Mus musculus: one gene and its partners. The main gene of each other region encodes a partner of the protein of the gene in region 3 in a complex. Links are inferred from orthologs where the notes say so. Each region holds a gene or a part of one and is shown on either strand. Other genes may lie near its edges.

Evidence for each region. The genes of interacting proteins can lie anywhere in the genome.
Region 1: Crnkl1 (region 3) and Bud13 share a complex: the UniProt entries of both Homo sapiens proteins name them as parts of the minor spliceosome. The link is inferred for Mus musculus from reciprocal best matches to the Homo sapiens genes CRNKL1 and BUD13.
Region 2: Crnkl1 (region 3) and Rbmx2 share a complex: the UniProt entries of both Homo sapiens proteins name them as parts of the minor spliceosome. The link is inferred for Mus musculus from reciprocal best matches to the Homo sapiens genes CRNKL1 and RBMX2.

The regions. Positions count from the first base shown.
Region 1 is NC_000075.6:46,281,612-46,285,359, reverse strand, and holds the start of Bud13 (BUD13 homolog), read right to left. Parts: upstream 2,349-3,748; 5' UTR 2,330-2,348; coding exon 2,187-2,329; intron 1-2,186. UniProt on the Homo sapiens protein: Involved in pre-mRNA splicing as component of the activated spliceosome. As a component of the minor spliceosome, involved in the splicing of U12-type introns in pre-mRNAs.
Region 2 is NC_000086.7:48,693,542-48,697,289, forward strand, and holds the start of Rbmx2 (RNA-binding motif protein, X-linked 2), read left to right. Parts: upstream 1-1,462; 5' UTR 1,463-1,574; coding exon 1,575-1,579; intron 1,580-1,778; coding exon 1,779-1,894; intron 1,895-3,748. UniProt on the Homo sapiens protein: Involved in pre-mRNA splicing as component of the activated spliceosome. As a component of the minor spliceosome, involved in the splicing of U12-type introns in pre-mRNAs.
Region 3 is NC_000068.7:145,932,274-145,936,021, forward strand, and holds the start of Crnkl1 (crooked neck-like protein 1), read right to left. Parts: upstream 2,428-3,748; 5' UTR 2,332-2,427; coding exon 2,281-2,331; intron 693-2,280; coding exon 540-692; intron 65-539; coding exon 1-64. UniProt on the Homo sapiens protein: Involved in pre-mRNA splicing process. As a component of the minor spliceosome, involved in the splicing of U12-type introns in pre-mRNAs.

The sequences.
Region 1 (3,748 bases), on a different chromosome or scaffold from region 3:
TGTCAAGTTGACAACCAGGAATAGCCACTACACCCTGGTTTTTAATAACTTCCTTGGACCTATCTTTCTTGCTCACTGTCTCCTACTCCCAGAGTAGAAATACCTCTACACACTCTTAGAATGCTTTCATTTGTATTTATCAGCCCATATTCTCATTAAATTCTAAGTTCCAACAGCCAAGGGCTAAGGCATTCTCTTATTTATTCCCTTCTTCTTGTTGTTGTTCCCTATAGCTAGCTTCCAGCTCTCTATCCTCCAGCCCAGCCTCCCCTGTGCTGGGATTATAGACTTTTACCACCATATCCTGCTGACTAATACATTTTTTGTTCATCAAGGCTTCTTCAACACAACTGTCACAGGAGGTATTCAGCCCTCCACACCCATGGACTTCACAACTGCAAACTCAACCAGGGGAAAAGGAATGGCCAATGTATTAAACAGATAGACTTTCTTTAGTTACAATGGCCTATATAACGTAACTACTGGCATACTACCTAAGCTGTAGTGGGCTTTTAAGTAATTAATCTAAGGATGATTTAAAGAGGATGTGAATAGTTGACATGAAAATAGTGTATCATTTTGAGCTTCAGGAACCAGTGCCCCAATTACTGTAAGGTGGTGGCAAGCCAATAAATAAATGTGTGCCACACAGATGAACTGTGCTGCAAGGAGGAGGTTATTTGAAATGCCAGGAACACATGACACAGCTTTAATCACAACAACCATTTCAGACAAGTAGTAAGGGGCTGGGACTTCAGGCTCAGAGAGATGAACATCTCTCTCTTTTTTTTTTTTTTTTTTTTGGTTTTTTGAGACAGGGTTTCTCTGTGTAGCCCTGGCTGTCCTGGAACTCACTTTGTAGACCAGGCTGGCCTCAAACTCAGAAATCCGCCTGCCTCTGCCTCCCGAGTGCTGGGATTAAAGGCGTGTGCCACCACGCCCGGCTGAGATGAACATCTCTTGCCCTGGACCACTCAGGCTATAAGTAGCACAGCTAGGATTCTAATTCTAATCAGTATTGCTCCAAAGCTTAAACTTTCCCCCTGCATGCCATTGCCCCTTCTTCCAGGGACATCAGCCACACTGAATTCAACACCACCTTAACTGAATATAGGCTCATCTTAACTGGTAACACCACAAAGATTCCATCTATAAATGAGGTCATGCTCAAGCTCTAATGAAGAGAAGTGTGGAAATGAGGGACTAATTCGACCCAGTTCAATGGACCATACGGTAATAATACTGTTAGACCATGATACTGCCCCACAGAGAGGGTGAGCCACACTTTGTATCCTATCTAGTACTCTCTTTAAGCTGATAAGCATTTAGTAGACCTGGGGGTGGAGTGTGAGAATGGAATTAGCCCCCAGAGTTTCAACTTTCTATCCAAAATAGCACCTTCAGTAAGCTGCTAAACTTAGGGCTGCTGCTCTAAAGCCTACAAATACAGACATTTCCTTTTGTTCTGTAGGTTGATGTTGGATATCCTAACCCAACCTTTCCAGATTCCAGTGGCCAAGTTACTAATGGACATTTCATCTGAACTCTGTCTCAGCACATCTCTTTGCAATCTGGAAGTATAGTGTTTAATATAAATGTCTGCTCCATTACAATGTTCTGAAAGCTATATGGTCAACTATTTTAGAAAGAGGCCAGGCACAGGATGTGAACTGTTCCCATTTTAGTTGTTACTGTTAGTAGTAGATGTGAGTAATAGGATATGGGTCTTTGATTCCAGATCAGTTCCTGGCACTTTGGAACCCTCAGAAAGAGATTTTTGGATCTAGAAAGAAAGAAAGAAAGAAAGAAAGAAAGAAAGAAGAGGGAAGAGAAAAAGAAGAAGGAAAGAAAGAGAAGGGAAGGGAGAAAGAGAGAAATAAAGTGAGAAAGAAAAAGGTTTGAATCAGCTTTGCTATTCTTGGACACGACTTTCAATCTGTACATGGAACGACGTAAGCTACAAACGCGGGGAGAAAGTGAGTTAAGTTCTAGCTGCCTTTAACACAAGGAAGGCGCTGCTCAGAGGATGAGGTCTGAGCTGCCAGTGGCAGCTACAATCCCGCCCCGGGGCAGTGGAGCGGGGCCTGAGCTCGGGCCGGGGTCGGCAGCACCGCGCGGGCCAGGACGAGGAAGAGCTGCGGCCGAGGGCGCCACCGGGCAGCGCGACACCTCACCAGTCCACTCACCCCTTGCCGCCAGCGCCTCCAGGCTTCGGCCGTTTTTTGCGCCGCTTGCGACCGGCCTCGGGACCTCCTTCCAAGCCAGCATCTGTCCCAGACAAGTAACGCTTCAGATACTCAGCTTTGGTGAGTGGCGGAGCTGCCGCCATGGCAGCGGCGAGGGCGGGGCAACAGCTCGGCGTGGGGGACAAAATTCTTCAACGCGAAACGGTAGGGGTGGAGCCAGAAGCGGAAGCTTTAGGACGGGGACTTTTTGAACTGCTGGACTTAAAGACTTGAGCCTTAAGAGGCTCCAGGGGAGAGTGCGTGCATCTCGGGCTGGCTGTGCTTTTCCTGAGACGACGAATCGGTGCAACAGCCTGCAGCCCACGCTGTCTCAGCTGAGAAGCCACAGGCCGATGTAACATGATCCTACCCTGGCAGCATCAGCGCCAGAGTAAGGAAGAACACCTGTATGAATGGTGGGACTTACCATAGCTGTACCACTAGGGGCACATTCTTGAGCAGCGTTTTAATAATGGACGCTGTACCAAACGTTTCAATTTCAATCACTTTTATTGCTATAAATACCTTTTGGTGGGAAGTCTGCTGGAAGAGGCTTCCGGGTACCATTTAGGGGAAGTCAAACTTGTGACTATAAAAGTTTGATAGGTTTTTATCAAACCTGTACTGACCTTCTCACCTTTGATATGTCTTTCTAAAAAATGATATAAACTCTTCCCAGTGAAATGGATTCGTGGTCAGTGTGGCAAAGAAACCAGGAAGATTCTGGAGTTTCTTCTATAAAGGGTTAAGTGTTTTATGACTTCTCACTTAACCCTCACAATTTTTTTTTCTTTCATCCAGCACCGAGGATTAAACCCAAGGCCTTTTGCACATGGTATGCAGGAGTTCTATAGAACTACATCCCCACTCTTTTGAATGTTGAAGATCTAAATTGCCTAAGCTGCCCCTGAATTTGTTAGCCTTCCTCCTCAGCCTCTCAAGTGGCTGGACACCATGACCTACCCTTCAGTTTTATTAGCCTCCTTTATAGATAATAAGAACTTTCGGGTAAGTACAGGAACCCACACATCTTCATACTGCCTGGCTCTAATTTTTGCTAGCAGAGGCCAAACAAGGATGGTGCTGGTTATCCAGTTTGAATTCGTTTTGTCTTGAATCAGGGTTTTTCTGTGTAGCCCAGGCTGTCCTGGAACTTCCTCTGTAGACCAAATCGGCTTCAAACTCATAGAACCACCTGCCTCTGCTGGGATTAAAGGTGTGTGCCACCCTGCTTTTCCAGACTGCTTTAAGCTGCATGAGAACAGCTAGACTCCACACAGGTGTACCTGGCTCAGAGCAGACAGGATGGCCTATTGGAGTGAATCAAATGCTGCCTCTACAGCAGCCACCTCAAGAAAGATTTGCTTAGGAAACTAAACTGGTTTTTCCTTCCTCATTTCTTTTCATGAAGACGGACTCTCACTGCATGGCCCAAGCTGTCCTCAGTCTCCTCGGAGCTGAGTGTGACTCAGTGTGACCCAGCTTAGTCTAGCACATGGTAATCAGTAAGGACATGAACGCAG
Region 2 (3,748 bases), on a different chromosome or scaffold from region 3:
TTTAAGGTTTAGAATGCCATATGTAAAGGTGGAGGTATCAGAGCCTTGTTAAAGCTCATTAAGAGAAAGTTACTTCCTCTTGTTAAAAGAATGGATTCTGAGTTCTACCTCTGGCCCTAATGATGGAGACGTAATATTCTGATCAGCCTCAAAAGAGAATATTACATGTTGTCTCTTACCTTAAGAGTTCCATACTGCCTCTAACCACAACATTTGGGAGGCAGAGACAGGTGGATCTCTGTGAATTTCAGGCCAGCCCGCTCTACAAAGTGAATGCCAGGAGAGTCACAAGCTCTATAGTGAGACCACGTCTCAGGGGGAAAAAGAGAGTTCCATGCTTCTGAATTGGTAGAATAAATATTGTGAAAATGGGTATACTTCCAAAATTAATTTGCAGATTTCATGCAACACCTTTCAAAATTCTGATGTATTTCACAGGTTTAGAAAAATAACACAAGAATTGATATGGAACTACAAAAGACAATAGGTAGAAAAGAAATCCCAAGGAATAAGAACAATGCTGATAGCATTATAGGACCTGACCTCAAATTTTACTATAGACCTATAGTCATAAGGACAGCCTGGTATTGCTATAAAAGTAGACATTAATATCAATGAAATAGAATAAGAGAATCCAGAATAAAATGCCAAAGCTATTCCTATTTAATTTTTGACAAAGGAAGCAAAAACATATATTGGGAAAAAAATAACCTACTTAAGAAATATGCTGGAAAAACTGAATTTCTATCTGAAGAAGACAGAAATTATGTGAGTGCAAGTGCCCACAGAGGCCAGAGGAGGATCTTCTGAAGTTGGAGTTGTGAGCCACCTGTTTTGGGTGCAGGTTCTCTGGAAAAAAATCAGCAAATGGTCTTAACCACTGAGCCACCTCTCTAGACCTTCAAGCTAATTTTTTTGAAGCTCAGTTTTTTTCCTCTGTAAAATGGGGATGGTAACTGTATTTCATGGGGTTGTTGGGCGGTCAGCCTGGTCTACAGAGCGAGTTCCAAGACAGCTAAGGCTACACAAGGAAACAAACAAGAGATTGAATGAAAAATGCAAATGGCAGAAAGTGAGCCGCCCCCTGGGAGGCAGAGGTTTAGGGTAGGGGCAGGGTGAGGAGTGCTGGGAGGAGCCAATGGTGTGAGCCTTAGCCTGGGGTTTGAGATCTAACAGAGATAACGTGCATAAATTGTCTCTCATTCACAACCTTTAAGTTCTCTAACTCTTTAGTTGATAGGTACTAGTTTGACAATGCTAATTTTTGCCTGCTTGTTTATACGTGGGCATTTAATTCCGACTGGCAGAGGAACACAGGGTCCCCCCATCGCTCTCCATCAAAAAGGGGGCGGGGACTGACTTGGGAACTGTCCCTCCACAGGAGCGAATGCCTGAGAAAGCACCTTCACCTTACTGCGCAGGCGCCAGGGCTTAGCGGGCCGGAACTTCCGGCGGAAGTTCCGCCTCGCGGGCCCCGTGCTCCAATCTGAGCTGGGTGTTCGGGTCGCGGGAGCGCTTTGGAGCCTCACCCGGAAGCTGTTGTCGTCTGAAGCGAGCCGCGCGAAGATGCGAATATGAAGTAAGGATTCTGTTTCTCTGCGGATAGGGGCGGGAGTGTTCTCCGCGGAAGGGAGAGTGGCTTGAGGATGGCCGCCCAGAAAGGGCGGGGACCGGTCCTCGCCCTCCGGGCCTCCGGGCGGGAGAAGCTCGGTAGGGAGAGGGCGGGCTGGGAGGAAAAGTACTTATCGCACTTACCGGCTTGCCTGCCACCCGCGCAGCCCTCTGACTAAGGTGAAGCTGATCAATGAACTGAATGAGCGAGAGGTTCAACTTGGAGTGGCGGAAAAGGTGTCTTGGCACTCGGAATACAAGCACAGCGCCTGGATCTTTGTTGGTGAGGTCCCCATTTTTCTCCAGCAGTGCCTTTCAGAGTCCGCCCCGTCCCTTCCCCTCCCCTCCCCATCCCTCTCCATCCCTCTCCCCTCCCCTCCCCTCCTCATCCCTCTCCTCTCCTCTCTCCACCCCTTCCCCTCTCCTCCCTATGCCCCCTCCCCCGGTTATTTAGTGCCCCTGGTCATCGCTTCTGAACAAGCTCATCACCTCACACTCTGGAAGCTCCTCTGCTCACAGGTCCACTTTTCAGTTGCCTTCAGCGCTTCTTAGAATTGGTATTTGCCTTTCATTCTATTCAAAACCTTGCTACTTGGCTGCTCAGAGACAGTTCATTCCACAGTCAACCTATCACGATGTCAAAGAAACGGAGGCGCAGACAGGTTACTGGACTTGCTTAAGGTCACATGCTGCAGCACTTCAAAACTGTGGGGCTTGTGCTCTTCGTCACGGTCACATACCGATCGTGTGTGTGTCTGCCCTTCCTCACAATGATTTTTCTCCTCTCCTGGGCTTCTGCTCCTAGTCCTTAGCTGTACCGTGATGTACCTGGTCAGACATTAGCTGGATTTGAAGACATTAAGGCTTGATTCAAAATTAGCTTTACTCCGGCTGAACATTTGAAAGGCCACCTGAAAATGTGACAGGATCAGGGAAAGCTACTTCTGATGAAAAGAATAGAGTCTGGAGTACACCCCTGGCCCTGGGTAGATACCAGGACATTTTCAGGAAACCTACATGTTACATACTAGTGTGCCCCTTCCTTCAGACATAATCCAACAGAGCTTTAAGTCATCTGGCCAGTAGACACCTGTCAGGAAAGCTCAGTCACCGCCAGACACGCTAGGGACACGGGAGGGAAATGATCCCCAGTGCAGGTGGTGCTGATGTCCGCCCTAAGTCTACCTGCTGCTCTGAGGCCTCGCTGAGCCCCACCTCTCCCTTTCTTTCTGTTCTCTGGGTGCTGGCGGAAATCCTGAGCCTGCTTGCCCCTAACACGCTGGGCTTTCTCATCTCACATCTAAATGTTTTCCTGTCCCTTTGCGGCTACTGCTCTGTCCCCATTTTTGTGCACTCCTGCTTGCTCCACCTCCTAATTCTGAAGGCATGGCTGCCAACCCTTCTGTAGCTCCCTCCTCCCTCCTCCTCCCGGTAGCTGGCGAATCTTACACCTTGCCTCCCTATCAGCTCTCCCTCAAATGCTAACACAATGGACCTCAAGCTTGCCCTTTAGTCTGTTTTAGAATTATTTTACCAAGATTAGAGACTGAGAGCCTTTGTAAAAGGGGAACTCTTGAGTCTCTGGGGACAATATTACCTTTCGTGTATTCTCTTTATGTCACAACCAAAATCCCGCAGTTTGCCTTTTGAAGGGATTGTGTTAAGCACTTTATATGCCTCATTTTAGTTTATTTCCATAATACTCCTGTGAGGCAAATATGTTAACGTCCCCTTTTTGCATATGAAGGAGAACATTGAGGAACATGTGAAAGGCTTCCTGTGAACCGCTTAGCACTTTCCTTGATACATCCTAGTTTGCACGTGGGGGGCAGTAACAGTGTATTGAAGTCAGTGTTTATGAAATCTGAGTCTTGTGCTGGAAATCATGTGCTTTATAGGACTTTGGGTATGAAGACTCAATGATAAGATTAATTTGGTAATTTATGACCCTAGCCTTTCCCCTCAGAGTTAATTAGTTTTTTTCTTTTTCTTTTTTTCTTTTTGAGGCACAGTTTCGCTCTGAAACTCACTGTGTAGACCAGGCTTGCCTCGAACTCAAAGGGATCTGAGAGCTAATGACTTTTCTTCCAGACAACTGTCATCGTACCCACTCTGTCATTGTATTAGGCTGATAATT
Region 3 (3,748 bases):
ATTGTGCGTATTTTATCCAGTTGCTAATCACAGTCCTATTTTTTCTTATGTTATCTTCAAAAGTCTGAAAGGCAAAGGGGGGCGGGGAGCAGTACAGTAAAGAGAAAACGACTTTGCTTTTCCTTATGATATACACTTCTCGTTTTACTCTTCCTAAAAGAAATTATATCCTAGATGCCAAGGAACAGCAGCTTTCCTCCAGAAGGGTATCAGTGACAGGTGTTTCTCTAAAGTTTATGGAGACAAGAAAAATGTAGGGGTAGCTATTGCAAGATTTTGCTGTTCTCTGTAATAATTAACGAGTACTTTAATATATTCTACTCTCATTCCTTTTAAGAACAAGAATGTTAAAACACCTTTCAAGATTACCTTCAAGTGCTCAGTAATTTATAGAACTTCCCATATAACTTCCATAATATTCGTGGATTAAATAATTCCCAATATTCGCCTGAGGTCCCATCACATAGGCTCTCTGGGAGCTCGTTCCCACTGTGGGCAGCAACTGGGACAGGTTGCACAGTGCATTCTGACGGACTCACCTTCCTTTTCCGGAGTTTGTAATCGTTTAATTCTTCCTCATCTGTGATCTTCTGCTGAGGTGGAGGTGGGAGGAGCTCGAGTTCTCTCTCTTTAGCTTCTCGGAGGAGCTGCTCGGCCGTTATCTGCACTTCGGCCGGCGCCTTGTTCTTCACCTTTTAAGACAAAGAGACATTCCTATTTTGGGTAGTGCTCTCCACACGAGATTTTAAAACCCTTGTATATTTTCCAGGACATAAACTTCCTAAGAATGGCAGGGTGGTGGCACACACCTTTAATCCCAGCACTTGGGAGGCAGAACCAGGTGGATTTCTGAGTTCAAGGCCAGGCTGGTCTACAGAGTGAGTTCCAGGACAGCCAGGGCTACACAGAGAAACCCTGTCTCGAAAGAAAAAGCCCTCCTAAGAATGTGCCCAAGATGCCATCTTTGAATAACATCTTCAATTCTCCATGAGGGGCAGGGGGAAAAAAAAATCACACTCCTTCCTCTTTATAACCTGCTTAGAGAACTCCTCTACATATTTTAATCCTTCTAGTGGACAAGCTGGTTTTCCATGACATTTTAGGCCAACTGAAACTTGTTTTTACTAAGTCTCCATCATTAGCCTGTAAGCTTTTAGAGCACCTGAAGCTATAGTTCCAACACAGGAGCTTAAAAGTCAAATGTGTTCAAGTGCAGATGGACCCTAAGTTCTAATTGGCCTTTTTACTGCTGTGATCGAACATCACCAACAAAAGCAACCTGCAGAGGAAAGAGCTGACTGATTGGCTTACACAACTGGACCACAGTCTTCATGAATGGAAGACACGGCAGGAAGCTGGAGGCATACCAGCTGTGCTCAGTCTGCTCTCACAGACTACACCAGAGCCCCTGCCCAGGTGTGGCACTGCCCAAGTAGGCGGGGGGGGGGGGGGCGTCCACATCAATTGGTAATCAAGAAAATGCCTCACACACTTGCCAGCAAGCAAGCTTAGGGACGAATTTTCTTAGTCCAGATGCCTCCTCCTAGATAACTTTATCTTGTGTCAAGCTGTCAAAAACTTAGTCAGCATGCATTCCCTGGCTTTTATGACTCAGGATAGGGGTTTGGGAGCGGGGGTAGGGGGGAAGCTACCACATCAGACTTTTACAATAATTACATGTGGAAATAAGAACTTGTCTCAAGACAAAATGGCCAAATCAGACTTCCAGAGAATGACTGTATGTGATGGCTAAGTGCAAGATTTGACACTTATTAAGTATTGATGAAGTATCAACCACAGTTGGAAATATAACAATTTACTATCTAACCTAAATTTTATGCCATTGCCCAGAGCCTATCCTCTGCCATTCTCTTCACTGCCTAACTTTGATGCAGCCTAAGTGTTAACTTCCTTCACAAAGTTTACCCTCAAGTTTACAGGCACCCTTCTGGCTCTTGCCCATGGCATATCTACACTACTTGGATACATCTATCTGGGTTGCCATTTCGCTCTCTCTCCAGTTTTAGTGGAGCACTCTTGCCCGGAGTAAAAGTAGGGGATCCCCAGAGACTAGCAAAGCAAACAGTTTACCGAACCGAACCGATGCTTTGCAACCCTGGAAGGAAGGCTGGGCAGACGCGAGACGAGCTCGGAGTGACAAGACCCTGCGCCACCTCACCGACCACCTGTCTTCTTGGACCGCGGCACAGAGATCGCTGTCTCGAATCTCTGGTGCCCGACACCGCAGATGCTGTTCGGGGGCTCCTCCCGGTCGCCTACCTTGGCCACTTTAGGAATGCGCTGTTTCCCGGCCGCCGTGGAGGCTGCCATGACTGCAGCCGTGGAACTCGAGCGATCCTGGCCGACAACCGGACTTGAGAAAAGCACTTCGAACCGGCCGGCACAACAGAGTCAGCCACAACAAACTAGATACCGGAACCGGAACCGGAACTTGCGAAGACGACCTTTGACCGCCTCACCAGTCAGGGGAAACGCCGCGTCGTTTCCTTAGCAACTGTGTGCGCGTCCTCTGTGGAGACTTGCGGCTTGCTGGAGCTGCGGGTGAGGTGGGTAGGGCGGGCTGCGCCGCAGGGATATAGGGCTCTGGCGGCGAGGGCTCATCCAGGTCTATCTCCGGGATGCGTGCAGCTGTAGGCCGTGGCACCTTTGAGGGGCGTAGAAATCCATTTCAGGTGTAGAAACTCCGGGGAGAAGGGAAAAGCACCGAGGAAACCCTGCAAGCAGCCTGGGCAGCGGTGCATTCTGGGATTTGTAGTCTTTCGAGTTCCCGCCCCCTCGCCTTAGGCTTCCCCGCGATTGGACCAAGTTAATAATCTTGAAATGTGGATTTTTTTAAAAAAAAAATCAGAAGAGGTATTTTTGAAACAAGATGTTAGAGAAAGGTGGAAATTAGTCAGTAGCAAAGCACCTACAGAAACTGATCAAATTTTTAGTCTGTAAATTTTTTTTTTTTTTTTTTTTTTTTTATTTTCCGAGACAGGGTTTCTCTGTATAGCCCTGGCTGTCCTGGAACTCACTCTGTAGACCAGGCTGGCCTCGAACTCAGAAATCCGCCTGCCTCTGCCTCCCAAGTGCTGGGATTAAAGGCGTGCGCCACCACGCCCGGCATGTAAATTTGTATTATCTCAATTCTCTTATCCTTAATATCCTTAGCTATAAAAGGATAAAAGTATCTATTTCCTTAAGATTAAAGAAAAAAATCTGTCTCTGTAAAATACTCGCTAGATGTTAGTACGTATAATATCTGAAGTACATTAAAAACAGTGATTTAGCATATAGTTAAGATAATTTTTTAAAATAAAAATTTTGGAATTGACAGCAAAATTGGGAAGGTGAGCTTTTCCTACTCTTTCCCCACCCTCAAAGGACTTTCTACGATCCATCCCCACCCCGTGTCAGTTACAAGAAACTGTTAGAGTTTACTTTTGTAACAGTCTTGAGATTTAGGACAACGGCAAGATTTTTTGTTTTGTTTTGGAGACAGGGTTTCTCGGTGTAGTCCTGATTCCCTGGTTGTCCGGGAACTCACTCTGTAGACCAGGCTGGCCTGGAACTGTCAACATCCTCAGGGTACCTCCTGTTCATCCTCCCCCTCGAGCCTTTGTCCATCAATACTCCTTTTTATCAAGCATTTTGTTTGTTTGTTTTTTAATTCCTTCTTTGAAAGTTTTGCGTCTTAATCATAGCCATTCCTCCAGCTTTCCCCAGATCTACCCCACTCCCTATT